Linked DNA regions of Lonchura striata. The protein of the gene in region 1 purifies or fractionates together with the protein of each later gene. This does not show direct contact. Links are inferred from orthologs where the notes say so. Each region holds a gene or a part of one and is shown in the gene's direction. Other genes may lie near its edges.

Region 1 (7,258 bases):
CTACAGTGTTGAGGAAAGGCTGTGCTTTGTAAGCATTTAATTAGAGAAATTAAGAATTTTAATTACATATAAGAATAATTTGGGTAATTTTTTAATAAAAGCAAATATATGACCTTGCTGAAATGCTTCTAAAATACTATTTATGTTAATAAATGTTTATGATAAATAATAAAATTCATCCACCTTGCTTAACACAATTTTCCATAGAAAATCTTGTATGATCAAGATTTTTCAGTGTTTGAGTCCATTATTATTTTAGCATAATTACTATTGCAAATGCCATGGCAGTTGTATGAAGTCTAGTTAACAATTTCACCAAAGAGGACGTAAATAATTATACCAATTTTAGAAACTTTATTGATCCAAACAATTAGTTTGCTTTAAGGGGCAGTGAATTTGTTCCCCACTTTCATCTTTTATTTTTGGTCATTCCTCGTACACAGGGGGGAAAAAGCCGAGAGGATCATAGAACAGCCAAGTAAACCTACTGTGTGACTTGAATTCAAGACTTAAAGGTAAAAATCTCTTACCTGGTCCCTCTGATTTCTCCAGAGATCTGGGATGTGCTGTGCTTTGTGGTGGCAAAGAGCAGCAGGGACAGGCTGATGTGTGTATCCTGGGCTGCAGAGGCTCCAGAGGGTCACTCGCTGCAGCAGCTGCTGAGAGCTCAGCTGGAGCTCCTGGGTTCAGCTCAGCCCTCGCTGGGACACTGCTGCTGCAGGATACAGAAACGAGCCTGGAAAAAGCAGGGAGCAGAGACAAAATGAGTAAGAAGGAAACTCCCCTTTAAGAATCAAGTGATCCAGAGTAATGCAGTAATACAGACCTGACAATTAGCTGCAGCTTTCATCCACAGACCTTTAAAGTACTCAATGAAAGAAGGGGGAAGTACCTACAATTCAGTCTCCCCATACTGGGTAACAGAAGGCACTATGCTTTGTATAGCAATGCAAATTTGAAAAGTTCCAGAGGAAAGATAGAACATTTTGAAACACAAAACAATGATTTCTGTGACAGCCAAAATAATTAATCTAGTTTTCTCCTGAGTAACTCCAGCTGAGTTCTTCCATTCTGTCATGGTGTGACATTTATAACTGTTTGTTATTATTATTTTTATATATACTTGAATTTTAAATGCATATTTTTGTCACTACCTTGGCCAAAATCTAAAAATAGAAAAGTAGGTCAAGGTAAAAAAAAGTTGTGACATGGTACACAGGATATAACATCTGCAAAGGTGAATAATGAGAAGATAAAGTTCCCCTGTGCAACACCTTCCAGTAATTTAAATATGTGAGTAAAGGGAGTTTCTATAGGCAAGTTACATGGCTTCTCTTGGTAGTGTTTTTATTTTTGTGGTTTTAGGGATTTTTTTGCGGAGCGGAGGTCTGGTGTGGATTGGAGGGCTGGATTTTCTAAGAGTGGCTTTTTTGGGGTCCATCCTGATACTAGGCAGGATCCAAATATCAGGGATTTTAAAAATAGTAAGGCAAACTGTACTACCTCACAAATTTATAGGAAGTGTCCATATTTCAAAATAGATGGGGGCTGTGCCCCTGCACAACAACTGAACAACATCATTTGGTTTCCAGGTTTCAATTCAGAATGCAGGTCCATTCTCAAACAGCTAACTACAGTTAAAATAGGGAAAATTTTATCTTCATAGGTTTTCTAAATTAAAGAATGGATATGAGATAGACATCTAACCTGAAAATCAGCACTGCTCAGAGGTAATAGTAATAGCTGAGTTTTACTCCAGAGTAAAATAATTAGCAAACAAAAACACAGTATAGAATTTCATAAAGCAGTCAGGAGTCTTTGTGTCACTGGTTTTTAATGTCTGCTGCAGAAGGAAAGATGGATGAGCTAGGGTGTTGTGTGAAGAATGGAGAAGTTCCAAGGGTTTAGACTTGATTAAAGCAGCTCAGCAAAGTCAGGATCTCTTTAGTCTCTTGTGACACAGGGTTTTCCATTGAAGCAGAGAGGTTCCTGTGCAGAAGTTAAGGGGATTTTTTTCATAACTTCTGTAAGGATTTCCCTTCTGTGTATTATGTGTCATTAACGTTCTTTTGTTTCACTTGAAGAGTAAAGCACAATGCACTTAAGAATTGGAATTATTGCTACTTCTCAGTCTTTGAGCTCATTCCTGGACTTTTATGAAGTTCATGCCAAATCAAATAGATCTATAGGAATATGGGGATCCCTTTGCTATGCTGTGCAGCAATATATTTGTGTGATTTCTTCCCATCCAGTGAGATCCTCCCAGTGCAAAAGCAGGCAGTTTATTCCACTAATACATTGTTTCCCTAACTCCTATTGTGATTTCTGCGTATTTCTGCATGCCTGCTATATGCTTCTGTTTCATAGAAACTGTACCTGTCAGCATTGAAGTCTGTTTTCCATTTTGGCAATTGCACCTGGCAGATTCAGTAAAGCCTTAGGAGCTGCTACAGGTGGGTTTGTCACAAGCGGTGACAAACTGTTCCCTGTGCTGTCTTCCTCTTGCACCCCCACTGTAGCCAAGTCTCAGCCCTACTGGCCATTAGTAGACCCATGTAGCATATTCCTGTTGGGAAAGAGGCACAGAGAGATGCAGATAACCAGAGTTTAAGAAATAGTTTTGGTAGAGACTTAAGCTTAAATTGTTTTCTTTGGCAGATAAATTGACACGGTCCTCAAGTGTTTTGATATATGTTAATCTATTGACAGAACAAACAGTAAGTGGAATAATACAGTCCAGTACATGCATCAGTTGGCCAAGATAAACACATGCTTACATAACTGTTCTTTGCATTATCATAAAACTGACATTTTTGTCAAGGCTTTGTTTTTAATAAAAATAATTTTCACAGAATCATAGAATCACTAGGTTGGAAGAGACCTTCAAGATCATTGAGTCCAACCCATGCCCTAACACCTAAACTAAACCATGGCACTGAGAGCCACATCCAGTCTTTTTTAAACACATCCAGGAATGGTGGCTCCACCACCTTGTGGCTGCAGGGGATAGGTGAGTTACAGACTGCCAGAACTACTTCTCAAAAACGGCTTGGAATTTTTCTTACACAGCTCTTTAGCTGATAAAATAGCAAGAAAATAATTTTTAGGTAGGAAGCTATCACTTATTTCTCTAAGGCAGTATGGAGAGAGTCAAAGTGCCTGTGTCATATTTGCTCTACTTTCACAGCTAATGTAAATGGAGTTTATATTTGACTTTGCATCGTGTACAGCACATGTATGATGGTTTGACAGCACTCAAACACAATTATAATATCTGACATAATTTGCCCTTAGAATCTTAGAACTGAAGAATTGCATCATTTAGGGATACAAGGCAAATTGTATAAATCTAAAAGCCCCAAAACTCCAACAGAATTTTTTTCCCTTTTTTTAAAATCTCTGTTTAGAGGTAGTTGACATTTTACACAGCAGAAATGAAATGTACTTAATTTTTAAAAAAATATTTTAAACTTTCTGGATTACATCTAGTCCTAGTAATTGAAATCAGAAATGCCCTGATGGTTTTTAAAATGGACAGAAAAGAATGATGAGATAAAGGAGTGGAGCTGGCAAAGGGAATTGAACAGTGTGGATCGAGAGAAGTGTGATTCAGCCAGGCTAAAAGGCTTTATTAACATGCTGCTTAACAGTGTTCAAGGTGCTTCTGAATTGATAGTTGAGTAATGTGCAAACATGCAATCTTTAATACAATTTTTATTTTTTACTTTCTTACGAAGGTGGCCAAGGTGCACGCCACCGCAGAGGTGTTTCACTTGTTCTGTCAGCAGTCCTAGGAAACGTGTTGCGTTGGACGACTGGGTCTTCTCCCCCACACTCCCGGCAGCCCGGACCAAGGGTGAGGTCGGGATTGCTGCACTTGCGCTCTGCGAAGGAGAACATCCTTCGTCAGCAATGCCAGCCTGGCACTGCGGGTGTCCCGGTGGAACGCCAGCGGTGCCCGAGGGCTCCGAGGGCTCCGAGGGCTCCGAGGGCTCCGAGGGCTCTGAGGGCTCTGAGGGCTCTGAGGGCTCCGAGGGCTCCTCGCCCCGCGGGCCCGGCCCGCGCCGCCGCCGCCGTGCCGCTCCCGCCGCCGCCGGAGGGTGGCGCTGCCGCCCGCGCGGCCGCCGGTCCCCGCCCCTCCGCCATGGCCGATGTGGAGGACGGGGACGAGCCCGGCGCCCCCCACTCGCTGCCGGGCTCCGCGGGCTCCAAGGCGGGCGCCCCCGACAAGATGTTCTCGCTGAAGAAGTGGAATGCGGTGGCCATGTGGAGCTGGGACGTGGAGTGCGACACCTGCGCCATTTGCCGGGTGCAGGTCATGGGTAAGCGGCGGCCGGGCCGCCATGGCCGCGGGCGGGGGGCCGGGGCCGGGCCTGGGGCCGTGCCTGCCGCCCCGGGCACGGCGGGCGCCGGGCACAGACGCGGTTTCCGGCAGAAGGGGGGGCTGATCCCTCCCGCCTCCGCTTCCTCCTCCGCGCCTTCCCGGAGGAGGAGGAGGAGGGCCCCGCGGGGGCCGGGCCGCTGCGCTGCGGGGCCACAGGCGGCCCTGTCGGGCAGCGAGAGCCCCCCGGCCCGGCCCTGCCCGGCCCTGCCCGGCCCGGCCCTGCCCTGCCCGGCCCGGCCCTGCCCTGCCCTGCCCGGCCGAGCCCTGCCCTGCCCGGCCCGGCTCTGCCCGGCCCTGCCCTGCCCGGCCCTGCCCTGCCCTGCCCTGCCCGGCTCTGCCCTGCCCTGCCCTGCCCGGCCCTGCCCTGCCCGGCCCGGCTCTGCCCTGCCCGGCCCTGCCCGGCCCGGCTCTGCCCGGCCCGGCCCTGCCCGGCCGAGCCCTGCCCTGCCCGGCCCGGCCCTGCCCGGCCGGGCCGCGCCGTGACCCGTGCGGTGCCGGCTTCGTCATGAGGGCAAATCCGCAAGCACGGACTTAGAGCCCAGCTGAAGCCAGTGCTGCATGCGTGGGGCTGCTCTTTATGGGGTGGGTTTTGTTAAGGGTTTTTTTTTTTCTACGAAGCAGTTACAGATGTACGTAAAAATTGATTTTTCAAATCTGTTAAACCAGGGTGTCAGACTCTACTTCGCAAGCGTGATTGCTGGTGCAGTTTAACACACACAAATGTACTGAGAAATTTAGTGAGTAAGGGGTTAATTTACTTGGTTTTGAAACCCAGAGACTGTTTGAAAGCACCTTCATTGTTAACTCATATTACTGTTTTCTGACATCTTTGTCAAATATGAGATTTATCTTAGTTCTTCAAAAGCGGTTTAAATTCTTCCTTTACTGTGTGTGCAGGTCCAGCTTTTACAATTATTTTGGACTGAGTCATCCTAGGTGTAGCTGTCCTCGCAGTTGGGTCTGCAGCACGTCGGCAGGACAAATGACCCAAAGTTCCCGCCAGAGCACCTAGTTTTTGTAGGGCCAGGAACCCTGATACTGAAAATGAAATCAGCATTTGGTTTAACATAAATGAGGCAAAATATACCATTCTGTCATTTCTCCTAAATAATTTTGCTGGGAACTTTCTCTGGAACAGAGGAGGCAGAAGGGTGTACAAGTAAACAGAGACCACTCTGGAAATATGAAATTGTCTTCATTTGCCATTTAAACCATAATTTTAAAAATGCATTTGTCCCCATTGTAAGCTAGGCTGTTACAGAACACTATAAAAAAAGTCTTAAATTAAAATCTTACCCAGAGCTATTATAAAAGTTTAAAAAAAAAAAGTCTTAATTTTTTAATTGCTAGACCAAGGGAGTACTTTTAATCTGAAACTAGAAAAAAAAATCTGAAAAAAACTAGTAACCGTTTTTTGGGAACAAACCACATTGTTAGAATGTGAAATTTGATGATTACTGACTTCAGTTTAGCAGTTCTGTGTTGACCCTGCCAGAGCGGGTCTGGCTCCTGTAGAGCCACTGCGTCTGCAGTAACCTTAGGTGGGGGCAGTGCCAGACTGAGACTGGCACTTGTTGAAGGTTAGTTTGACTTTTGCAGGGAAGGAGGTGTTAGCTGGCTCCATTTTCTGCTGGTTTAACTCGTTCACCCAAGGTAGTTTTAGATGCACAAGAGAAAGGGACAAAAATGCAGGTGTTAGCTGGGAAGCACAGGATTGCAGCTGGACTGGCTTTGCTGTCCTTAGCCTTTCAGACTGACCCCCATCTGTGGGGTTATGATGTGGGAGTGGGGACAGGTTACTTTGGTGTGGTGGCAGTGATTTCTGTCCTTGGCTCTCTGTGCTGCTTCTGTCTGAAGCTGCAACTCTAGGGCTCAATAGGGCAGCTGATTTATTGTGAGTTTCTGCTGTGACCCTGGATCAGGGGGCTCCCACACACCATGATACGAGTTGAAGCACTTTGGCTGAATCCTCCCAGCACCTTAGCCCCTAACTGGTGTTGAAATACGAATTTTAGGGACAGACAACACAAAAGTTTTGCTTTTGTCTCAATGAAGAAAGGGCAGCTGTTTTAGAGTTCTCTCTTCTTTGTTCTCTATTACCTGAGAAAAGGAGGAATGTCTAGGCAGTTCAACCTAATATACAAATACTGGCCTTATCTGGCAGAGACTGCAAAAATACTCAAATCTAAATTCCTGTAGCACATTAGAGTTTTGTCTTTTGGGAGAATATGGTCCAGCCAGTGACATGTAAGCCAGATTCAACCGGCAGGACACTTGTTTAAGTGTCCACATTTCTTTGGAAGAGATAAAGATGTGTTTGCTCACATAACAGTTGAACATTTTCTGTTGTGCATGATCCGTGCACGTGTGTCTGTGGCAGCCCAAGTTGGGGCAAAGGAGAAGCAAAGGTACTTTTCCACTGCATTGTGTGGCACAGTGGGAAGCCTGGAAGTTGTCACTCTTGTATCTTATTGAGTCCTGGAGCTGCCATCCAATCTTAAAGCCACAGACTGGAGTGAATAAAGATGATAAATATTTTTAATTAGATATTGTTCTGTATTTATTAACATATATTATCAAATGTACCACTATATTTGTATGTGTGTGACTCCTGTGAAAATTAGATGCAGGTACTTGTCAAGGGAGGCTACTATAAAGAGTAATAGGTGGTGGGAGTTGTGGTGAGAGATGCACAGCCTAGAAAAATCAAAATTGTGAATGACTTCCTTAAAAGGAAATGCTGACATCTGAAAAACAAAGTCCTGTAATTAGGGTTTGGCTTTGTGCTTGCTCTGGTCTTAATATGCCTGAGTGCCTTGGCACAAATCTGCGGGCTTTCGTATCTACAAAATGGAGAAGGCTTTTTTTCAGCAA
Region 2 (7,159 bases), on another chromosome or scaffold:
TCCCACACAGTGACACAGTGTTTGTTTTAAATGTCACCAGTAGCCCCAGCTGAAGGTGACTTCCTTCCCACTGCAGCCCTGATGTGAAACACAGGTTGGTGATGTGAAACACAGGCCAGTCCCATGCACCAGTCCAGGAACAAGCCCTGCTCAGGAACCACACTGGCTTCAGGCTCATCACAGCTCCAGTGCTGCAGGCAGGAGTGCTGGGAAGAGCAGTGACAATGCCAGCAAAGCCAGTTGCAGCAGGGATGAGGGATGCTGCACATTCATTCCAGTGCTTGTGTGCAAGTTCAGAGATGGAGAGCTTTGTTCTAATTACAGGTTTTATTGGTTAATTCAACCTTTTAATCAAAACTTAAATTGATTTTGATTACTCCAGAATAAAGATGATAGGAGGAAAATCCAGCCCATACCTCTAGTTTGACTTGCTGCTGAGCACAGTGTGGCTGTCAGCAGCACAGGGATGGGGCAGGGTGGCTGCTAGAGGCTCAGCTGATCCAGTTCATCCCCATCCCACAGCCTGGCTGGGCAGTTCCCAAACCTCTGCTCTCACACACGGGTATTTCAGCATTTATCCAGCTGTAATTGTTCTGCCAAGGCCAAACCACAAAGCTTGTGCAAGGAGGAGTCAATGAATGCCACCTCAAGCCTGGGAGATGGTTGGAGTGATGCTCCTCCAGCTCTGGGTGCCCCTGTGATCCAGAGGGGGGTTCCTTGGTGTCACATGAGCCTGCCCATGTGGCGTGCTCAGTGTGAGGGGCAGGACAGGGGACAAGCCCCTGCAGCACAGCACAATCCGAGCAGGAGCCCAAGCTGAGCCTGGGAATGATGAGTCCTTCTGGCCACTCCTTCCCTCCTCACAGCAGAGCAGTCACTCCCTTGAATTCCATTCCTTTCTCCTTTGCCCTTTTCCAGCTGAATGCACGGCTGTGGCTGATTTCCCACATTGCAGCAAGCCCCTGCCAAGCTCACCCCTCTGCCAGGAGCCTCTACCAGGATTGCCCCTCTCACTACAATTCCCACCTGTCTGGGCACTGGTTTCACTATCCCACCAAAGACAAGAAATCCCTGGAATGAGCGAGCCATGAACAGGACTTTGGCTGGCCCTGTGGAGTGGCAGGACTGAGACCCAGAGGCTGAGAGATAAAATTGAGGAGATTCCTGCCCATCCTCCTCCTGTCCACTTGCACTGCTTTGGATCCATTGGACTGTTGGACAGAAATGAGGCTTTTCTCCCCTCCTGGGCAAAACAAACATCCCCAGGTCGCCCCTCTCCCTTCCCCTGCCCTGCTCACCAGCCTGTGCCCTGGAGTGGATGTTTCCCCACAGGCTTTACCTCCAAGCCCCTCTGCCCCGGGAATGCAGTGGCTGCAGGAGGACATCTGCTCTTTGGGTTTGCTTTAGGTGCTCTTTGGGTTTGCTTTAGGTGCTCTTTGGGTTTGTTTTAGCTGCTCTTTGGGTTTGCTTTAGGTGCTCTTTGGGTTTGCTTTAGCCGCTGTTTTGTTTTCCTCTGTCAGTGCCCTCTGTGCTTTGGGAGCAGCCATGGGAGCTGGGAGAGGGCACACAGGGGGGCTGTGTTTGGCCCCTGCCAGTGCAGAAGCCAAACTGAGCAGCTGAGGATGAGGATCCCCTTGGCCCATAGGACACAAACCCCTCACCAGAAGAGGCCCCTAAAGGGATCACAGCTTGTGGCTCCAGGGCAGCACAGGAGCTCGAGCTCTCAGGCTGTGGGAGAGGGAGCCAGGCTGAGACCACCAAAGAGGGGCCAGACCCCCCTCCCTGTGAGTGTGGAGGGGGCAACTCTGGAGCAAGTCCAGGGAGCCCACGGAGATGTCCCAAGGGCTGGAACCTCTCTGCTCTGGAGCCAGGCTGGGAGAGCTGGGGGTGCTCACCTGCAGAAGAGAAGGCAGCAGGCACACCTTAGAGCCCCTTCCAGGGCCTGAAGGGGCTCCGGGAAAGCTGGAGAGGGACTGGGGACAAGGGATGGAGGGACAGGACACAGGGAATGGCTCCCACTGCCAGAGGGCAGGGATGGATGGGATATTGGGAATTGGGAATTGTTCCCTGGGAGGGTGGGCAGGCCCTGGCACAGGGTGCCCAGAGCAGCTGTGGCTGCCCCTGGATCCCTGGTTGTGTCCAAGGCCGGATTGGAGCAGCCTGGGATGGTGGAAGGTGTCCCTGCCCATGGTAGGGGTGGGATGGGTGGTCTTTGAGGTCCCCTCCAGCACAAACCATTCTGTGACTCTATAAAAACATCCCACTTTAATCCATTCCCTCCCTTCTCCATCCATGAGTGACCCTGCCCTGCTTCCCAGCCAGCAGAGTTCCCCAAGGAGGATCCCGCAGGATCTTTGCAGGCTGAGGGACATCTGTGGTGCTGGCAGGGCTGGGGAACGTGGCTCACTGAAACGGGATTCACTGGAAGCTGGAAGCTGGGAACATGGATGGAGTGCCTAGCTCTGGAAAGATGAGCAAGATGCTTTGTTCAGCACAGGGATTTATTTGTCAGCAATGACAGCAGGGATCCTCCACACCTTCCCATTGGGAATCCCCTGCGACTGGGTTTGGGAGCGGTTCCTCAGCGATGTCACACCAATGCCAAGGGATTCCAGTGAGAGCATCCAGGAGTCCTGGCTACAGGCTCAGCCTGGCACCCACAGCCCCACTGCTGTCCCCATTCCCTGGGGACATGCTGGATGTCACCATGGCTGCCCCCTGCCCCACCAACAATGGAGTGCACACACTTCCCTACCCAAGAACCCGCTGCCTGCCATGAAATGGATGATCACCCACCTGGATGCCCCCAAACTGTAGGTGGCCCTCTTTCTGGATGCCCACCCCAGATCTAGAGGAGGACTCCTGTATGCCCTCCCTCCCTACCTCCCACGTACCCACCCACCTGGACATCTCTCACATCTGGATGTCCCCGAGTCCTGGGTGCTGCCTCTTCTTGGGTGCCCCACACATCTGGAAGTGCCCCATCGATGTGCGCCTCCCATCTGGATGCTTAGCTCATATCTGGATGCCCCCCCAATCCCGGATGATCCCTGGGTGCCCCACACACACGGATGTTCCCCAACCCCGGTCCCCAGTCCAGGACCCCAGTCCCAGTTCCCCAATCCCGGTCCCCAATCCCAGTTCCCCAGTCCCGGTCCCAGTTCTGCAATCCCGGTCCCCCATCCTGGTCCCCAATCCCGGTCCCCAATCCCAGTTCCCAATCCCAGTACCCCTATCCCGGTCCCCAATCCCAGTTCCCCAGTCCCTGTCCCCAGTCCCTGTCCCCAGTCCCGGTCCCCAGTCCCAGTCCCCAATCCCAGTTCCCCAATCCCAGTTCCCCAGTCCCGGTCCCCAATCCCAGTTCTGCAATCCCGGTCCCCAGTCCCAGTTCCCCAGTCGCGGTCCCCAATCCCGGTCCCCAATCCCAGTTCCAGTTCCCCAATCCCAGTTCCCCTATCCCGGTCCCCGGTCCCGGGTGCTTCTCCCCACGGCGGGTGCTCCCCCGCCCGACTCGCCATCCCATCATGCCCCACTTCCCGCAAGGCACGCCGGGAGCTGTAGTCCCCAGCCGTCCGCTGGCCTTCTCAGGGGCGCGTCGGGGCGGGGCGCACCTGATTGACATGCAACTAAGCCTATGGGCGCGGCGGATTTGCGGAGGAGGCGGGGCTGTCTCTGATTGACGCACACTTTAGCCTATGGGAGCGGCGAGAGCGGGCCCGAGGCGCCTCCCGGGCTCGGGCGGACGCGTTGGGTCCGTGAGGCGGGGGCGGCCCTGCCCGGCTGAGGTGGGTGGCGGGACCTGGCGCTGCCCTGGTGCGGTGCTGCGGCCCGGCGGGGCGGAGCGGGCTCGGGGCCCGGCGGGGCGGCGGCGCTTTGTGCGAGTGGGAGGGCGGAGCGCAGCCGTGTCAGCGGCGGGGGCGCTGCGGGGCCGGGCCGGGTCGGGCCCTTCCTCCGCCTTCTCCTCCTCCTCCACCTCCTCCTCCGCCGCAGGTCCCAGCGCGGCCCCGGCGGAAGATGCGCGGCCGGCGGTGAGCGGCGGCGGGGCAGAGGCCGCAGCCCGAGGCTGGCGGGCGGAGGATGCGGGCCGGGCCGCCCCGCCGATGAGAAGCAGGATGGGCACCCAGGGCAGCCCGGTGAAGAGCTACGATTACCTGCTCAAGTTCCTGCTGGTCGGCGACAGCGACGTGGGGAAGGGGGAGATCCTGGAGAGCCTGCAGGACGGCGCCTCCGAGTCCCCCTACGCCTACAGCAACGGTAAGAGGGGCCGGGGGGCCGGGCCGCAGGACCCACATCGCTGTCACAGCCCTGCCGCTGTCACCTCCCCCCGCCATCGCTGTCACCCGCATCTCGCGGGGACCCCGAGGCCGGCACCCCAGCGCCGAGCTGGCGGGCAGGGAGGGGTTGTTTTGCTTTTGCCTTTGTTTTTTTTTTTGGTTTTTTTTTTTTTTTTCATTAACTGGGAGCTCAGCGCGTGGCAGGCAGCTCAGAGGCCTCCTCAGCTCCTTGAAATGCCCGAAATCTGGAGGAGACTGTGGGCAGAGGGGCTGGTGTGTGATGTAATCCCTGGATGCGCAGCCGGACCCTTCCCCAGCGGTCCCGCTCGCAGGGCAAGGCTCGCCTCCCTCTCCCCGGCTGCCACAAGGACCGAGCCGTTCCCAGAGGAAGCAGGAGCTGTAACAAAAGAACTGGAGCCTGATTCCCAGCCCAGCGGCGCTCTGGCTCGGTGGCTGTACCGGGAGCGGCCGGGTTGGCTGATCCACCTCCTGCCAGCGTCGAGGTTCCTAATGGAGCCCATGACAGACCATTAACTACGGTATCGCAAGACCGTAATTAAGAGCCAAGGAGTAGCGCTGTGCATTTCCTGCAGTTACGGTGTAGCACGGCCTGGCGGGGTGCGGGTCCCCCTGTGGGTTTCAATCTGTCATCCGTCCCTCTCCTCCGTGCCCGGTAACATCCCCGAGGGCTCAGACCCTGCATCACCGCTGCAGCCCAGGGCAGGAGCAGGTAGTGCTGAGTTTTGCCTGTATCAGGAACCCGAGGGAATCGGGGGCTCCTTGGTGCTCTGCCCTGGCCAAATTTGGAGCATGCAGAGTGGTGTGGCTCCGACCACGCTCGGTCCTGGGAGCCACCACCAGCTCCCCAGGAGCTGATGTAAGTGCACACCTGCTCCACAGAGATTTACGGGGAGGTGGTGACTCAGAAGTGGAGCTGCCTGTGAAATGGGAGCAGCGCTTCAAGAAGGAAAAGGCTTTGCTATCGTTCATCTCCTCGGGTGTCTGGCTGGACTGGTGTGGTTTGCCTTTGAGTAGGTGCTGGGCACTTCAGAGCTTCTCTGAAGAGAGTTTGTGTTTCTGGAGAACCTGCCTCACCTGGGAGCTGTCGAACTGCTCTATAGGTTTGGTCTTTACTATGCAGAGTGTAGAGGGGTGGCTGTTTTAAGTGAAGTGTTACAGTTGGAATTGTCTCCTGATTGAAGTGAGTTTGAAGCAGACAGGGTAGGAATAAGGAGTGAGTTAAGTGGGGTCTTTGGTATAGGCATGAGACCCAAAGAACAGAGATTTTGGCTATGACTATAGACCTTTTGTCTCAGAACCCACTGTTTTGTAGCAGCTAAATACCAGCATCTTTTTGTTGGAAAAAGAAATCTCAGTGAATAATTTCAGAACCTTCCCTTGTCCTCCATGAGCAATTGAGCCCATTCCTAGTTAGAGAATTAGGTCACATACTGTTGTTTCACAGTAATACGTGCTCTGATAGTCTCTGATTCTGTTGAGTCTGGGAAGTGAAGCACCTTTAGGATAATCAGCTGGAGTGGTTTTGATATCCAAGTGAATTTCATCCTGCTGATGCTGCTGACAGCTTTGGCAGTGGAACTCCCTGTGCCTCCGGCACAGCTGGGACGTGCTGACAGGGCATGCTGCTCCCCTGCCCTGACAGAGACCATCCCCTGAGCAAAGGCTCTTGGATTTTGGGAACAGCTCGAGCCTGGCATCCTCTTTCACACGTACCTAATGCCTTCCCAAAACACCAATGCTGGAATGTTACATGGAGGTTCTATTTGTAAATCTACTTGTAAGCACGTTGTCGTCGTCCTCATCCCCTCCCAGATCCCACAGCCCAATTTTAAAATGAGTGTTGTGTCATTACCACTATTTTGGTCAGTGCAGAAAGCATAACCTGTGTGTGCTTTGGGCTGCTCTTGTGATGGGAACATCTTGTGTGGAGCTCAAGTCCTAGACCTTGTCAGGAAGGGGAGAGAGAGCATTTGCTTTCTCTGTCTTGGTTGGGGTGTGCTGCTGTTACTCTGTTGTGTGGAAACAGTTGTAAGCAGCCAGGTTTTGTGATGCAGCGTGGAAGGGATTGTCCTTCCAGCTCGGGGAAGGCACACCCTTAGAAGTGAAGCTCTCTAAATGTAGCTCTGTATTTTAGCTGCTCTTACCCAGCCTATTAGAAAGGGATTGAGGGATTCCTCTCTGCTCCATGGGCATCTGGATGTTGGATCAGCACACAGCTGAGAGATGAAAAGCCCTTTTCCTGCTGGATTTTAGGTGCAGTAAGCAGCCTCTGCCTGCTCCTGTCCAGTATCGGAGAGCCTGGGATGCAGCGGGAGCTGTGTCTGCCATACAGCACCATTGGTGCTTCTGTCCATCCTGTTCCAGAATCCCTGAACAGCAGTGTCACTTCTCAGCACAGCCTGGGAGCTTGGCACCTCGTTCTAAATTTGGCACATCTTATATTAGCCCCTGCAGTTCCTGTAGTGCATAGCAAGACCTTTCTTTAAATTGCTGGCAAAATAAACCTGCTCTGTGGGAACAGAGGTGATTGTTCCCCTGGTGCAGGAGGAGGTGTGAGCGATGCCCTGACCATTGCTGCACCAAGCTGTGAGGGCACTGAGTATGGGACTTCTAGTGACAAAAAGGTGGCATTTTGAGGAGAAAATTGACGTCCAGTTTCACTTGTGTGTTCCTTACCAGGTTCGTGCTGGATCTATGGAGTATATCAGCCTCCAGGAGCATCAGACAAGCATACTCCCTGTGAAGAGCAGGGAGTGTTGTTTCTGTCCTGTGGCTGGATATTATAACTGATTTGGACTTAGCTTTTGCTTTTTCTTGGCCATCTGCAGAAGACCCTGAATTAAACCTTCCTACTATTGTTTTGA
Region 3 (8,035 bases), on another chromosome or scaffold:
TCTGTCACACCCCTCCACAACTGGACATGGGAGAGAAAAGAGTTCATGGGCTTGAGGTAAGGACAGAGTGAGATCACTCACCAAATACTGTCACAGCCAAATCAGACATGAATTAGAGATATTAATTGAATTTATTACTAAAAAAATCAGAGCAGGATAATGAGAAGTAAAATAAGACTTTAAAAACACCTTTCCCCCCACCCTTCTTTCCTTCCCAGCTCCACCTCCTCCCCCTCAGTGGTGCAGGGAGACAGGGAATAGGGGTTCTGGTCAGTTCATCACCATATGTTTGTGCCACTGCTCAGGGAGAAGAGTCCTCTCCCTGCTCCAGTGTGGGGTCCCTCCCACAGGAGACAGCTCTCCATAAACTTCTCCAGTGTGAGTCCATCCCACAGGCAACAGTCCTCCCCAAACTACGGCAATGTGGGTCACTCTTCCATGTGGTGCAGCACTGCAGGCACAGCCTGCTCCAGCCTGGGTTCCCCACAGGGTTGCAAATTTTACCAGGAATTCTGCTCTAGTGTCAACTTCACTCTGAGGGGCTGCAGGTCTTGTTTTCCCTGTTCAGCTCTTGAAGAAGGTGGGACAAAATATATGTGGAAGGTTGGAGCTGTTTCCACAACAAAAAATGAGGCAGGAGGAAGCTGGAGTGAACAGCCAGGCAACAGGCAACTGTAGGGTTTGGTCAATCCTCCTTCAGCCTGGCTATTCCATGAGCTACGGAGGAAATCCTTGCTCTGTTGGGGAATCTGCCCAGGTAAGCTGACTTGTTTATCTTTTTCTGATGTGTTCCTCTGTGGTGAAGGAAAATTCAGGGTGAGCTACATCAAAAAGAAATGCCTTTTGGAATCAGCTGAGCATACGAAACTAACAAAAATGAGTTAAGTTTATGTGTGGAAGGAATGGATAGATTTGCATGTGAAAAAAGGGAGCAACTTAGCATATGAAACTCTCTAATGCATTAAAAATGGGACAGTCATTCATGCTGTAAATCCAGACAGAGGTGAAGGAGGAAAGTAGAATAATGGAGGCATCTACAAAAGCAGCTTTTGCATTGGAAGACACTTCAGTACCTATTCTAGGTTCTGTGAGGTAGTGTTCTGCAAGGTGAATTCTATGTGCCTTTTTTTTTTTACAACCTATAAAGGAAATTTTTCTGTTTCTTTTAATTTAGGATATTTTGGCAATTCTCTGCTTCCCTTTATTTCCAGAAGGACCAAAAAGCTGGAGTGAAATAAAGACATACCTTAATTTTAGTTTTATGCTTCTTGATTCTATAGCATACGTAGATGAATTGAGCTTGTTGAACTCAAAGGTATTGCTAAGTTTTTAGAACAATCAGACTTGTGTGGATTTAATCACATGCCAATACTAAACACTTTTTTGCTTATCTGCTAATGATTACACCTTAAAGATGCAAGCACTTTTTTGTTCTTGTGTAGAAATAGTTTGTTATTCCATAGTTATCTGGATTTAGTAGATCTGCATCTTAAATGAAACTGTCTTTAGGATGGGATTAGTTATGATGATATAGATATAGCTATAGCTATAGATAGATATAGAATAGAGAATTTATATAGAGAGCTCATCAGTTCTGGGAACACAAAACCCCTGGCATTCACAGTTCTGTTCTTTGCAGTGCTAATGTTGATTGGATTTGGAAGGCAACAAAGTCCTGTGCTTTGTTTTCTGTCCCAAGTATAAGTGACCATGAACAAAGCGAGCTTGTGAAAGGTGAAGAAATCATGAAACCTGAAGTGAAATAGGAAGAAAGTGTCTACAATTAAAAAAGGGTAAGAGAGTATTAATGTTTTACCTGACAAAAATACGAGATGTGCTACTGGGCAGAACAAGGAAGGTAAGCTGAAGATTCTCATGGTTTTTGAAATTAAAAATAAGACATTAAAAAAATTTTGTGCAGTTGCTTGTAGACAAATGGGATTTATCATCTGCCTTCGTGAGGGTCATTATTAGTGTTTTTTAATGGTGTCTGCCTTTAAAAATATAGGAAATGTTACAAGAAAGTCTTTCTGAAGAAGACGCTAGCCTTTGGTTCCTTAGAGGGTTGAGAATATGGGACTAATGGACTACAGAAATGGACAGATACTAAAGTAGCTGCTTCCTCTCACAGCTGGGTAAAATGAAGAAGCATAGGCCTGGTTATGATTGAAACAGAGCTGAGTTCCTTCTGAAAGAAAATGTGTATTTGCCTTTGATCTTAAATTCACAATATTCCAATAACAAAAATTACAAACTTTTCTGTGCTTGACTGATCTTTATTATCCTGTCAAAATGGCTACGTAACTAAGCTTTTCTTTAGGTCAGTAATACCAAGAACTGAGAAGAACCAAAGCAGTCAAACAATCAGAAAACCAAATTAAACAAAAAGAAGTGGGGTTCTTAGGCTTTGCAATAAAATTAATAATGGTGCAGGAGATGATGATTTTAATAACATAATTTTAGGTTTATGTTTCTATTAATTTGTATTGCTGAAGTTGCATTAAATGTTGCAGTTGGATTATTAAAATATTTATACTGTTAGCACCATAATCAAATGAACTGGTACTTTAGGTCAGACTTAGTAGACTGAAGGAGGAAGGGATGAGTGGGTTAGTGAAGGAAAAGGTTGTCTATTTCCTTTGGGTTTTCTATGTTTTGTATATATCTTCAAAAAATATTGTGAAGTGTGAATTAAGTATGCTTTAAAATGCTTCATTATCCTAGAGAAGTACCTTTAGTCATAGTAAAAAAATGTTCAAAAAAGTACAAAGTAGTTTCACAAGCCTGATGAAATACAGTAGCAGTATTTTCCCAAGTGTGATCTCCTCTTGCATTTATAGAGCAACAGTGTCCCATAGGCAAGTTACAAGACCATGTTCTGTTGCTATAAATAGTAGAGATTTTAACTTCTATTTCCACTTTGGAAGATGAAGCTTTGTCACATCTGTAAGGATGTATGGACTTAATCTAAGATTGCTGTAGCTTCCCGTCTGCACATGGAGGAATGCTGTAGTCTGTCCTCAGCATGGAAAAAGATCTTGTTGATTCACAGATGAAAATGATTGTTTAAACCTCTGTTGCAAGGTTTAAACACCTGAAGTATCTGGTTCTAGTTCCTGAGACTCTTTTTGCATCTGTGTAAATTCATTTTTGGAAGACAAATGTGTTATGTTGATAGAGTTAGAAGGAATAAACATCTATGTATTTTCCTTCACTCCTAACACGTACATAACTGGATGTAGAATGGATGGGATTCCTGAAAGGTATTCAGTCCCGGCCATGGTGTGTAGAGGCTGGTGAGCAACTACCAAACAGATTTCTCTTGTGATTATGAACTAGCTGCAACTTCTAATGCAGCTCAGAAAGGACTCCAGGGCAACACTGTTGCCCCACAGTGCCTGGGGTGAAGAGGATGGGATTACAAAGGCAATTAAAGCTGCAGTGGTGTTTTGCAAACCTCTCTGATTTTTTTTTGGGTTTTTTTTTTTTGGTTTTTTTTTTTTTTTTTTTTTTTTGCTTTCCTACCTAAATTTAGTTCTTATGATGGCCAGTAAACTAGGAATTCAGCTAAGACACAGACAGCTGAAGTCAGACAGAATGATTGAGTCAAACCACAAGTGGTTTGAACTATTCTGGCTCCTCACAATTTTCAATTTTTTACTGAAATATATTAAATATAAGCCTACCAGTGGTAGTGATGGCTGCCTTGTGAAGATGTCCAGTGGGCCATTCAGGTCTTCACAGCTCACTTAGTTGATAACAACTCTGTAATGCAACCAGAAATTGACAGCTTTTATTTATTAGCTATAGGATCTTTTAAGAGGTGTCCCGGGGTTTAGCTGTGTATCACAACTGAAAATCTTAAGTAAAAAGCAACTTTTTTCCTAAATGAGAATTTTATTAACAGACAAAATGTATACCCAGCTCTAACACATTATCTCAAGCTTCAATCTTTCAGATTTTTGTACATGTAGCAGGTCATCCGACACAAAGTTTGGCCCCTTCTTGCTATAGGTTGTAAGATAAAATCCTTATAGAGCTCTTGGCAATGGTGTGAAAAATATTTACCTTTTCAGTTTCTGAAATGGTCTGTAAGTTTTGATTACTAAAGCCAGCAGGGGATAGGGCCTTTTCACTTCCTGCTCCTCATGTACTTTTCGTTGGATGGCTTTTCTAGAGCTGATAATTGCAGTTTGTATGAGGTTTCCTTAAACTACTGAGTGCTTCACACCTTTTATGATCAGGCACTTTATTACTCCTTTCTGAAGAAAGTGAATGCGCATTGAATGTGATACCAGAGCACGGAGTTTGCTTTTACCGAGGCTCTCCCAGGTCTTGTAGTGTTGCTATCTCTGGATTGTATCCTGAATTTCCAAGTTTGAAGGATAAAGGCATTCCCTCCGACAAGACACCCCATGACCCATTACTGTAAGCATTATTTTCTGGGAGCAAAGGTTACGCTTAGCATGGAACACTGGTGAGCACAGTTAATTTTCGCTCGCTGTGGCGTCTGGTGCGAGTCAAAAACGCAGGGATACAGCGCTTGTTATTCTTGCGGGGAGGAGTGCGAAGTCCGCGATGGGGCTCGATGCCCCAGAGACTGGCTCCAACATACTTTCCTTCTTTCTCAGCCCTGAAGGCAGGAGGGGCAAGCTCGCTCCCAGCGCTTTGCTGTCACATCACGCCCGCTGTTGCGATCTGGTCTGGCGGGACACAGGCCGTGCTGGCGGCTGTTTCCCCGGTCAGACGAGCTGCTCCAAGGCGCGCCGCGGTGTGTCCCGGCCGCGCCCCGCCGCCCATCCCGGCCCATCCCGGCCCATCCCAGCCCATCCCGGCCCATCCCGGCGCGGCCGCCGGCGGGGGCGGAGCCGGGCCGGGCCGGGCGGCGGTCACGTGGCGGGGTCACGTGGCGGGGAGCCGGGCCCAGCCGCCGCCGCCGCTCCGGGAGCGGTGAGAGACGGAGCCGGGAGGGCGGGCAGGGAAGGAGGGAGGGGAGCAGGGAGCGGGAGGGAGGGAGCCCGCGGGCGCGAGTGGCCGCCGCCCGCTCTGCCGCCGCCGCCGCGCCGAGGTGAGTGCGGGAGGTGGAGCGGGATGGGCCGGGCGCTGCGCGGGGCCGCGGGCGGCTCCGGGGCTGTTTTCCTTTTGTTGCGGTGGGCGCCGGCCGCGGGCACGGCGGTCCCGCTCCCCGGGGGCGGCGGGGTGCCGGCGCGCCGCCGGGACGCGCGCGTCCGCCTGTGCCGCGTCCTTCCCGCCGCGCTTCCCCCGCGCCCGGCGGGCACCGGCCGGGATGAGCCCCGGGAAGGCGGGCGGGAGGCTGCCCGGAGCCCCCGTCCTGCCCGGAGCCCCCGTCCTGCCCGGAGCCCCCGTCCTGCCCGGAGCCCCCGTCCTGCCCGCACACCTGCGGCTTTGGGCCGCGGGGCGGGGGTGGTGCCGCCCTCCCCCGGCGGTCCGGGAGCCCCGGGCGGCGGCGGGGAGGGAAGCGCTGGCTCCGGCATCACCTGTGACTCTCCGTGCACCGCCCGTCGCGCTGCCATTTGTAAATATTGTTGTCTTTTTCTCCTATTTTTTTTTTTTTTTTCCCTTCCCGCTACGTTCCCCCGTGCCCCCGCCTTAGCGGGCCGGGGGTGGCGGGGGGCGCACGGTTCGGAGTCGCGCCCCGCGATGTGCAGAGACCCGCCTCAGGAGCGCAACTCCTTCGCATTCTTTGTGTTGTGTCTTCTCGTCGTGCCTCTCAGTAAGCGTCTGTGCGCGAACGTGTTCCAGCACCTTGGCTTCCTAAAGGTTTCCGAAAAAGTGCAGGAATCGTTTACCAGTTCAGTGCTTAAATTTGACCGAGACATTAGAACAGGCGATTAAAACCAGCTGTATGGGGTGAGATCAAAGGTCTGTCTTGTTTGGATTGCCGTTTCTGCAAGTGGCACATAGCAGATGCTTAGGAAACACCATAACAACAGGGTGAGCGTGCTGTGATTCTTTGGGAAACCAGCCAGGCCTCCAGCAATTTGAGGTTAAGGGATTGCCTGAGTCAAATGTGATGTTTTTGTATTTAAGAGTCCTTTTTTGCCAATGGCTTAGATATATATGTTTTTCGAACAAGAACTAAACAAAGGCTTTTTAATAGAAAATGTTTATCTTAAAAAAAATATAATTGCAGTCATATTATTGTCATAGGTAGTTTCATTTTGCCAGGATTAAATTTGCTTGTCCAAGGATTACTGATTCATGAGCAACATCCTGTGTTTTGAATAGGTAAGGGGTATTTGAAATGGATATTTTCTATACCAGTGAAAACTGTAAATTAAAAAAAATGTTTCTTAATATTTGTTTTTACAAATAATTTGCAAAATTTAAATATTAAAGTAACTGTTTAATAAAATGAAGTCTAGTAAGACCTGTGTCAAAATAGCATAATACAATATTGACAGCTTTGGAGATGATCATATGAAGCCTTAACATTTAACTGTTTATATTTAAGCTTAAAGACTTAAATTGTTGTCTCATTGTGTCAAGATTTCTGGTAAAGTTATGTTGAAGATACCATCACAGATTTGTCCACAATAGCAAAATCATGGTGATCCCCGGGGATGCTAGCTGTCAGCTTGATCCTGTAATCCTAGTTCAAGAAATAGCTTCACGCCAGCAGTTCCTAACCTGATTGCTCTTATAAGGAACATTTGCACGAGTGGGCCTCATTTTTCACAGGCAGTGGGAATGTCAGGCAAAGTAGAGCTATTTCAAAAAACTGCATATTCCCCCACGCCCCCAATGGAATTTTGTAAGAAGGTCATTAGCAGTTTCTTGGGGGCTGAAAGGAGGTAGTGGGTTGATATAGTATATATAGATAGCTATTTATAAGATTAAAAATAGCTCAGAAAACTGACAACTGTAATTGTTATGAATGATTTTCATAGAAAGACAATTAATTTTTTTGTGCGTTGTATCACTGCCTCTGACAACAGACTGGATTTCTTACCTAGTCAACAGGTGTTTATTGTAAAACCCTTAACACATTCATTGTTCTATGTTGAACTATACTGAGCCCACGGTGGACAGTTTAAAATATTCATTATATTTCCTTCAGTAAGGCAATGAATAGATTTAAATGGTTCTGTTGTGAACTTTTACCAAGAAAGCTGTTGTCATGCAGCTGATTCATTTTTATCACAAAAAATTGATTCAGCTGAACTTTCAAATAAAATCAGTTTTGTTTATAGTCTTTATAAAAAGTTGTACTTGTTTTATGTAGTTATTAAGCATACTTATAATACACAGCTTTTAGCATTGCTTTTCATTAGTAGGTCTCAAAGCACCTTGCAAAATAATTCAGTGTAATTATTCTCTTCTTATCTTAGGGTAATTATTATCATGTAATCTAGTGCTCATAAAGAGATCATTGTCTGCTGTGATTGCTATGAGAAGCTCTAATAATAAAATCAGACTTTTTGATTTCATTCTTTTTTTTTACAATAAAACCCCAACAAACTCACCTTTCTGTTTCTGTTGTTCATTTAATGAGGACTGAGGTAGTTTCATACCAGACCTTCTATGCCAGTGTTGGGAGCTAAGCCTATGCTTTATGGAGGACAGACTTCTCTTCCTAATGTCAGAAGAAACCTTGCTGAAAGCTTAACTAAATTCATTGATGAGCTGGAAAATGCTTCAAGACAGTTCCTGTTAAGGTGGTCAGGTACTAATGGTACACATCTCTAGTTCAGTCACCAGGGAGGTTGACTGCTCAGACTTTGATATCTCTTGGTATCTATCAGGATTAAAAAAAAGTGTGTGAATGAGTGAGTTACATGGGCATTATCCTCATATTTTAGGTATTTTGCTTCATTTCTACTATGGTAGAGTTGATGGAAATTGTACAGAATATTTCATTTTTTTGAGTCACTATTTGTATCTCATTTTTGTAATGCATCTCGTGGCAGAACAACTTCTGAAACTAGGGCTGTGAAATACACATCTTTAAGTTATTTTCCAACTGTCTCTATCAGTTGGGATGTGCAGTTGATTATCACTAATTACATTATTA
Region 4 (7,475 bases), on another chromosome or scaffold:
TTGTTTAGGGCCAGACCTTATTCTTGAACTGTCTGGCTTTTCCAGGGGAGACAGCTCCCCCTCAGTCCTTGGCATTAAATAATTAAATGGAGGGAATAATCGTCGGTGAAACCCCCTTGGGTTCGCACTTCCTCGGGCCCTGTGATTGCTGATATTTTTTTGGTTGAAATATGACCTTTTTTATGATCAAAGGGGATCAGAGTTCCAAAGGAAAGTTTAAAAAAAAAAAAAAAAAAAAAAGGGAAAAAAAAAGAGGGCCAGCATTTTCTTTTTTCCCCCAGTCTTAGTGGTCTGGTAAAGTTTCTTTAGACATGCAAAGATTTACACACCTTTCTGCAGGGTGCCTTAAATTACCCTCCAACTCTTTACACATTTCCATGAACAGAGCAAGAACAGTAAGTCATTGAGAAATTAACTGGCCTTTCAATAATATCCCCTGTCGGCCTTTCAGAAGGAGAATGTCTAATGACTTTTTTGAAGTAGAGGTCAGGGTTTGCTTTTTTTAAATAAAACAATCTGTATTAATGCAATTTCCTTTTTAGCTGTAGGATTTGCCCTTTTTTTTTTTTTTTTTTTTCCTCAGCATCGTTTTTTTAACACCACCAGCCACACGAGGCATCCCAAGCAAGACCTGGTTGCTTGAGACACACACTCCTGGTGTTCCCTAACCTGCTTGTGCAAGCTCTTATCATTTAATTTTTTGGTAAAAATTGTGTTTTAAACTGGACTTCGAAGCTGGCAAGGTGACTCAGCTTTGGGTGGTGCAGAGACGGAGCTGAGCAGGTTTGCTTTACCTGACACCAGCACCTGGGTTTTGCTGAGCTGGGTGTGAGCTCTGAGTCCAGCTTTGCTGGGCCAGAACTGCTGGGTGATGAAGCAGAGGCACTGAGCTGGAAGAGCTGTGCTGGGCCCCTCAGAGCTGTGCTGGGCTGTGCTGGGCTGTGCTGGGCTGTGCTGGGCTGTGCTGGGCTGTGCTGGGCTCCTCAGGGTGAGGATCTGTCTGTCCAGAGCCTGCCAGGTTTGCAGCCCTTGGCATGGATGTGTTTCTCTTTGCCAGTCCTTCATCTTCCTCTCGAAAGAAAAAGATTGAAAATATAATATTTGTTTGGTAATCTCAGTTTGTGTTTCCTTGGGGTTTCCTGGTATTTCTCTCACGCTGCACTAACACCTTGTGCTTCCGTGTTGCTCGGCACGGCACAGATTTGGATGTGCTCTGCCAGCCCCAGCCCCTCCTCACCCCAAAACCGTGGACAGGGGCAGTGCAGCCTCCTTGGAGCACTGCCTGGGATGGTGCTGCTCCTTGTGGTACCCAGGAGTTCCCTCCTAACATTCCCAAAATCTCGCCCTGTGGATGTTCTGGTGCAGAGAGCTGGGCTGGCTCGCCCACAGCTGAAGGATTTTCTGACCGTGGAGTTGCACCTCTGCTGCCTGGAGGATGCTTGGGGTAAGGAGTGGGAAAGAGGAGGGTGTGGGGGATGGCGGGGGCCTGGCAGTGCCTGGCCAGGACCAGGAAAGGGCTCTGGGGTGTGTGCCCGGCCCGTGTGCTGCCCAGGCTGGGGATCAGAGCACCCCCTCCGCCCCCGGGGCATCAGGCAGGGGCCAGGGCAGTGCCACCCGCAGGGGTGACAGCCAGGAGTAGCTGCTGGGGGAGTCCCCCGTGCCCAGCCCTGCCCTTCCCAGCAGGAATGGTGTTTCTGGATTTACTGAGCAGCTCCTCTTTCTCCCTCCATCTCTGCCAGACCCCAAAAGTACAGCATGCCCTGCGCTGGCTCCTCTCCCCTGCAGCCCTCACAGCTCCCCCATTGCCTCCTAGCTCCCTGTCTCTGTGGTTGGTGGCATTATAAAACACTCCAGCAAGCCCCTTGCTGAAGATTTTTCTCCCAGCTTTCTCATTCCCTCTCTTTCTGCCTCTCTTCTGCTCTTTCTTTCTCTCCCTCTCTTTCTTTCCCTGCCAGGAATCCCAGTCAGTCCCAGATGAACCAATACTCCGTGGCTCTGCTATTTCCCTTTTATTCCCCCCCTCCTTCAACAGCGAGATGGGAAAAGAGTGAACTAAAAAAAAAAAAAAAAAAAAAAAAAAAAAAAAAAAAAAGAGAAAGAAAGAAAGAAAAAAATCAAAGCGGCACATATTGGATCCAGATGTGCTTACAGCCCTTTCCAGCAATTTAATTAAATTCCCCCAGACAGCCAGGAGGATTTCTTAATGATCAAATTTCCCTGGCTTTCCTCCTAAAATGCCCCTCTTTCTTCGGCTGGCTGTTGCTGTGTCTCCCTGATGGATGGCCAACTCGCATTCTTCCGAGTCCGCCCCGCCAAGGCCGTGGGGAGGAAGGGGCAGAGCCTGGTGCTGTTCTCCCAGCCAGGCACTAAACACCCGCCCAAGCACGGCCAGAACGGCCCTGCCAGCAGAATCTCTGCTCCCAGGAAATGTGGGGCTGGGGAATCTCCCTGCGCTGTGTCCCGTGGTGTGGCCGTGGCAGGGAGGACTCCCACGTGCGTGGGCTCGCTGTGCTGCTGGCAAGGGAAGGGCTCAGCCCGTGGCTCTCCTGGATTGTCACCTCCCAGGGCTGCTTTGGAGCCAGGTTTGGTCCCACACTGTGTCCCCAAAAGCTCCTTTCAAATTGGGGGAAAAGCCTCTGTGGGGCTCCTAAAAATGCACATTGGGGCAGCTCGGTGTCCCCTCTCATCCTCAGGGACAGCATGGCTGGGGGCAGAGGTGGCACTGGGGTGACCCTGCCTTGGCAGCCCTCCTTTCCCAGCAACAGCAGGAAAGGAGAAGCGATTTCTGCCCAAAGTGCCCACCAGTGCCACACAGACAGGGATGGGGTTTGTGTCCCGTGCTGCCACTGGAATTGTGGAGGGTCCAGGGTTTTCTTGGATTGTGGCTTTTTGGGCTTTACTGGGAACAGAGGGCCCAGGGTGTGGCTTTACCTGGGACTGGAATGAGGGTCTCAGCTGCCCAGCCCACCCCAGATGGGGTCCCCCCAGCCAGGCTGCTCTGGTTTGAAGCCAGCTGAACCCCCCTATGCAGAGGGACAAATCCCCCCCGTCCCTCACTCTCCCTTCTGCTTTCCCCCTCTGCTCCCTGCCTGGGCTGGATGGGGTTATTTCCACCCCTACTCAGGCAAACACGGGGATGACACCCCAAAACCCCACCCAGGGGGGCTGCTGGGCTGCAGGAGGGGTGCAGGATCGAGGTGCCACTGCACAGCACCAAATCCTGGTGGCACCGGGGCCACCCTGCGAAGAGCCCTGTCCTGAAGGTGGGCACGGGGTCCAGGGGCTGCAAGCACTGGGGACCTCCAGCCTGGCACCCCACTTTGTGTGAGGAAAGGAAGGGTGGGAAACAGGGGGGACCGTGACAGCATGTCAGAAAAATGCCCAGCCGGGGCGGCCTCCTCGCCCCTTCTGCCCCGAGGCCACGGCTGCCTGCTGGAATCTGGAAGCGCTCCACCGGAATAAAATAAATACGTAAATAGGAAACCCAAGGCGGCTTCAGTTATTGCCGCTCTCCAGAGCTCCCCGCGCTGGCGGATTCCGCCAGAATAATAATAAAAATAATGATGATTATGATAATAGTACCAATAAATCCTGGGCTAATGCTCCCCCTGGTAGCTCTTTCAGCAGGGGAGGGTCCAGGCGCTGCGGGCAGCGGCACCGGAGCCACCCCGAGCCCCGGGGGGGCGGCAGCCACTGGGTGCCACCTCCCAGCAAAGCCAGCCCGGCCTGGGTGGGTCCTCCAGAGGGACGGGGGACATCGGGGAAAACGGGGACACCCGGGATGGGGGGACACCCGGGACGGGGGAGGACACCGAGGAAGGGGATAGGCGGGGCGTGACACCCGTGAGAGAGGGGACGCCCCGGGAGGGACAGAAGGGAGGAAAGGGGAGGACAGAGGGGGGGAAAAGGGGGGGAAATGGGGGGAAAAGGGGGGGACAGAGGGGGGGAAAGGGGGGGACAGAGGGGGGACCCCGGGGGATGCCCCCGTCCCCCCCATCCCGCGCGCGGCCGCGTGCTGCCCCCTGCTGGCCGCGCCCGCCACGGCCACGCCCCGTGCGAGGCCACGCCCACTGAAGCCACGCCCTTTAAAGCCACGCCCATGCGCAATGCCGCTCGACGAGGCAGCGCCTTGAGCGAGGCCACGCCCCCAATGGCCACGCCCCCAGCCAGGCCCCGCCCCCGGGTCCCGTTCCCGTTCCGGTTCCGGTTCCGGTTCCGGTTCCGGTTCCGGTGGCGGTGCCCGGGCAGGTGAGGGGCGGCCGGGCCGCGGGGAGCCGTGCGGGGAGGGCGCTGCCGGGGCCTCCCTTCCCTCCCGCCCTGCTCGGCGGGGGTTGCATTGCAATTCGTGGGTGTTTATCTGTGAAAAAGAACCGGGCTTTATGGACTCGTTTGTTTTTTTTTTTTTTCCCCCCCCCCCCGCTATAGCCTGATCTGCCTCCTCAGGGAAAGGTGTGATGGTGTGTTTAATGCACCTAAAAATATTTGTATGTCAGGAGTGGTGCATACCCTTATTTATTTATTTATTTACACGTACGTGCTGATAATAACAAAAATATTCCCGCTTTGGAGTATTGTAAAACGAGCAGAAAAATTAGTGTTGTTTTTTACTAACTTATTTTAATTGGGCTGTTACAGCTCGGTAAAGAGCGATAAGGGAATTAAGATGTGTGGTTTTTGTGCAGGGTCTCGTGTTCCTCCTGCTGGGGTCTGGGGGCTCCTGCCCATCCCTTGCCATGGGCTGCCCGGGGATTTTGGGGCTTCCTGGGCTTGAACCCCAGGAGGGATCTGCGGGGTGGGCGGTCCCTGGGGTGGCTCCAGCCCCTCTCCCAAAAAGCCAGGCAGGGCTTTGCTGGTTGCAGACCCCTCGGAGCACCCCCAGGCTGGCTCCTGGCACAGGGGCTTTGTGCCCGTCCTGGCTCCGCCTGGGCGTTCCCGTGCCGTGCCCAGATAACTGCAGAGCGCAGGAGATCATTTGGAGACACCAGATCGCTGTGTGGGAGGAGATCCCTGCGCTGCCTTTATATGTAAGGAGGGGGAGGCTGTGTTTTCTTCTATGCTCAAACCTGCTGAAAGCCTCGTTTGTTTGGAAGGAGGGAGAAGCCCCTTGGAGGACAGCGGTGCCGTGCTGGAGGCCCCGGGCGGGGCAGATCACGATGCCTTTCCTGCACGGCTTCCGCAGGATCGTCCTGGAGTACCAGCCCCTGGTGGATGAGCTCCTGGGGCTGCTGGCCACACCTGACACGGAAGGGCAGAGCTCCCTGGAGAGGTAAGAGCGGGGGGCTGAACACCCCAGGGTGTTTCTGGGGGATGGTTGGAGCTCAGGGAGGTGGCCAAGGTTGGACAGCGTTGGCTTGGACAGCCTCCAGTCCTGGCGAGCAGCTCATCCCACAGACCTTCATTTTGCTGCTGTTCTTTGGGAACAGGGAGGTGCAGCAAGGCAAACACAGGAGCTGTGGGGGCTCCCCAGGAACAGCCCTTTCTGCCTGACCCCTGGCAACAAAGCCTAAACTGGGGCTCAGCTCAGCCCTGAGGCTGCTGTGTAACCCCACAACCAGCGGGTCAGAGACCCACTGGGTATGGGACCAGAGGGAAGACCAGGGATTTTCCTTCTTCCCTGCTGCCACTTTGACCCTTGCACACCTGAGCTGTGTTCACTGAGTAACTGCTGGGTTTTTGTGTGTCTCAAGCCCTGCCTGCCTGGACAGTGACAGGAGCCAGCTCTCAGCTGTGAGAAGAGTCCTGGAGAGGGAGATCCACTCCCCATTTTATCAGGAAGGTGTGAGCTATGCCCTGCTGAAGGTCACTGAGCTGGGGCTTGTCCCAGCTGCAGAAATCCTCCTGGAATTTGGTGCTGACCTCAGCTTTGAAGGTGAGGCTGGTGGGAAGGAGGCTGGGCCAGGAGGAACCGGCAGATGAGAAGCTGCCCTGGCAGGTGGGGATAGCTGGGGCACAAACAGGGGGTGCTGCCAGCTCAGACACTCCTGCTCCTTGCTGGAGTAGTGTGGATGTGCCTTGTGTGTACCCAGGAGCACCAGGGGGGCTTTTGGCAGGATGGAGCCACTGGAGCAGCAGGACCTGGGGTGCCTGTGCCTGTTTTCTCAGGCATCACTGTGCTCCCAGGGCCCTCCCCAGCTGTCCCCTTCCACTCCTGGCAGGCACTGGGGCCGTTTTGGGGAAGCCCTTTGTTTTCTTTGACTGTTTTTGTCCTCAGACCCAGTCACCTACTACACCCCGCTGCACATGGCGGTGCTGCGCAACCAGCCGGACGTGGTGGAGCTCCTGGTGCGCCACGGCGCCGACATCAACCGCAGGGACCGGGTACGGCCTCGCTGCCTGGGCACAGCCAGGCCTCAGCTGCTCTGCTGTGTGGGGACAGCCCTCCTGCTTCCCTCCTGCTTGTGCTGCTTCCCCTTGGCACATCCCTGTGCCCACTGTCCGTGGTGCTGTGCCTGAAGGTCATGTTGGCTTTGGCTGAGCCCCTGCCTTGGAGCGATGTGTGGGAGGAGGCTGGAGAGATAAACTTACTGTGGCCAAGATAAAACCCCAACAGCAACTCCCTGCTGACACTCACAGACTTCAACATCTGCCAGTGTGTTTTAACTGTTTTTAACTGTTTTGCAGATCCATGAGAGCAGTCCCCTGGACCTGGCCAGCGAGGAGCCCGAGCGGTTGCCGTGCCTGCGGCGGCTGCTGCAGCTGGGGGCCGACGTCAACGCCGCCGACAAGAACGGTCCGTGCGCCCCGCCCGGCTCCCCCAGCTGAGGGTGGGCTGGGGCAGGGCACAGGGCTGGGCCATTTGCTGCTGTGCCTGCTCCCTGCTTACAGTCGGGTGTGGGAGCTGGGAGGAAGCTGGCAGAACCTCCCTGCACTCGATATTTTCTCCTGGTGTGCTGGCTGTATGAAAAGGGCTGAACCTAGCTCTGTGCAGTCCACGGGAGGTGGGGTGGGGCTGTTCCTCTGTTGTCCTAGAGCACTTGCTCTAAAACTCACTCTTCCATGGCACATAGACCCACTGAGGCTTCCATCAGCCCTGCACGTGTGGTCTTTGACTGTCCCCACAGCTGGGCACCATCATGGGGACAGTGGAAGCCTCTGCCAGAAGACTGGTTGTCACTCCCTATGTTTGGCTGTCTGGTGGGTGGGGCGGGTTGTTTTCCTTCCTGCCTTTTGGGGTGTCACCCTGTCATCTGTGACTGATTGCTCCATTGCAGGGAAGACAGCACTGCTGCATGCCCTGGCCAGCAGTGACAGTGGCCAGATCCACAACACTGACAGCATCCGTCTCCTGCTGGAAGGAGGTAAAGAAAACCTTCTTCCCTTTCTGGGCTGGCTGATTCTTTGTGCAGCGCCAGGCACTGCTCTCCTGACTCCTTTATGGAGTCAGAGAAAAGCCCAGGGGTGCTGGAGTTGGTGCTGGCCTGGCCTCACACTCTGCAGTGTCAGTTATGTTCTCTGTCCCATCCTGCAGGCGCAGA

What was found.
Region 2: the proteins of RNF7 (region 1) and RAB40C purify together in Homo sapiens (co-immunoprecipitation; 4 studies listed by BioGRID and IntAct, with this or other methods). This does not show direct contact. The link is inferred for Lonchura striata from reciprocal best matches to the Homo sapiens genes RNF7 and RAB40C.
Region 3: the proteins of RNF7 (region 1) and TULP4 purify together in Homo sapiens (co-immunoprecipitation; 3 studies listed by BioGRID and IntAct, with this or other methods). This does not show direct contact. The link is inferred for Lonchura striata from reciprocal best matches to the Homo sapiens genes RNF7 and TULP4.
Region 4: the proteins of RNF7 (region 1) and ASB6 purify together in Homo sapiens (co-immunoprecipitation; 4 studies listed by BioGRID and IntAct, counting the BioPlex papers as one, with this or other methods). This does not show direct contact. The link is inferred for Lonchura striata from reciprocal best matches to the Homo sapiens genes RNF7 and ASB6.

Annotation. Positions count from the first base shown.
Region 1 is NC_134612.1:12,595,255-12,602,512, forward strand, and holds the start of RNF7 (RING-box protein 2), read left to right. Parts: upstream 1-4,110; 5' UTR 4,111-4,144; coding exon 4,145-4,322; intron 4,323-7,258. UniProt on the Homo sapiens protein: Catalytic component of multiple cullin-5-RING E3 ubiquitin-protein ligase complexes (ECS complexes), which mediate the ubiquitination and subsequent proteasomal degradation of target proteins.
Region 2 is NC_134618.1:2,658,159-2,665,317, reverse strand, and holds the start of RAB40C (ras-related protein Rab-40C), read left to right. Parts: upstream 1-4,008; 5' UTR 4,009-4,100; coding exon 4,101-4,254; intron 4,255-7,159. UniProt on the Homo sapiens protein: RAB40C small GTPase acts as substrate-recognition component of the ECS(RAB40C) E3 ubiquitin ligase complex which mediates the ubiquitination and subsequent proteasomal degradation of target proteins.
Region 3 is NC_134605.1:53,849,096-53,857,130, reverse strand, and holds the start of TULP4 (tubby-related protein 4), read left to right. Parts: upstream 1-4,883; 5' UTR 4,884-4,950; intron 4,951-4,974; exon of another isoform or gene 4,975-5,068; intron 5,069-8,035. UniProt on the Homo sapiens protein: May be a substrate-recognition component of a SCF-like ECS (Elongin-Cullin-SOCS-box protein) E3 ubiquitin ligase complex which mediates the ubiquitination and subsequent proteasomal degradation of target proteins.
Region 4 is NC_134624.1:3,661,153-3,668,627, reverse strand, and holds the start of ASB6 (ankyrin repeat and SOCS box protein 6), read left to right. Parts: upstream 1-4,224; 5' UTR 4,225-4,248; intron 4,249-5,090; 5' UTR 5,091-5,153; coding exon 5,154-5,266; intron 5,267-5,687; coding exon 5,688-5,869; intron 5,870-6,211; coding exon 6,212-6,318; intron 6,319-6,621; coding exon 6,622-6,730; intron 6,731-7,211; coding exon 7,212-7,298; intron 7,299-7,468; coding exon 7,469-7,475. UniProt on the Homo sapiens protein: Probable substrate-recognition component of a SCF-like ECS (Elongin-Cullin-SOCS-box protein) E3 ubiquitin-protein ligase complex which mediates the ubiquitination and subsequent proteasomal degradation of target proteins.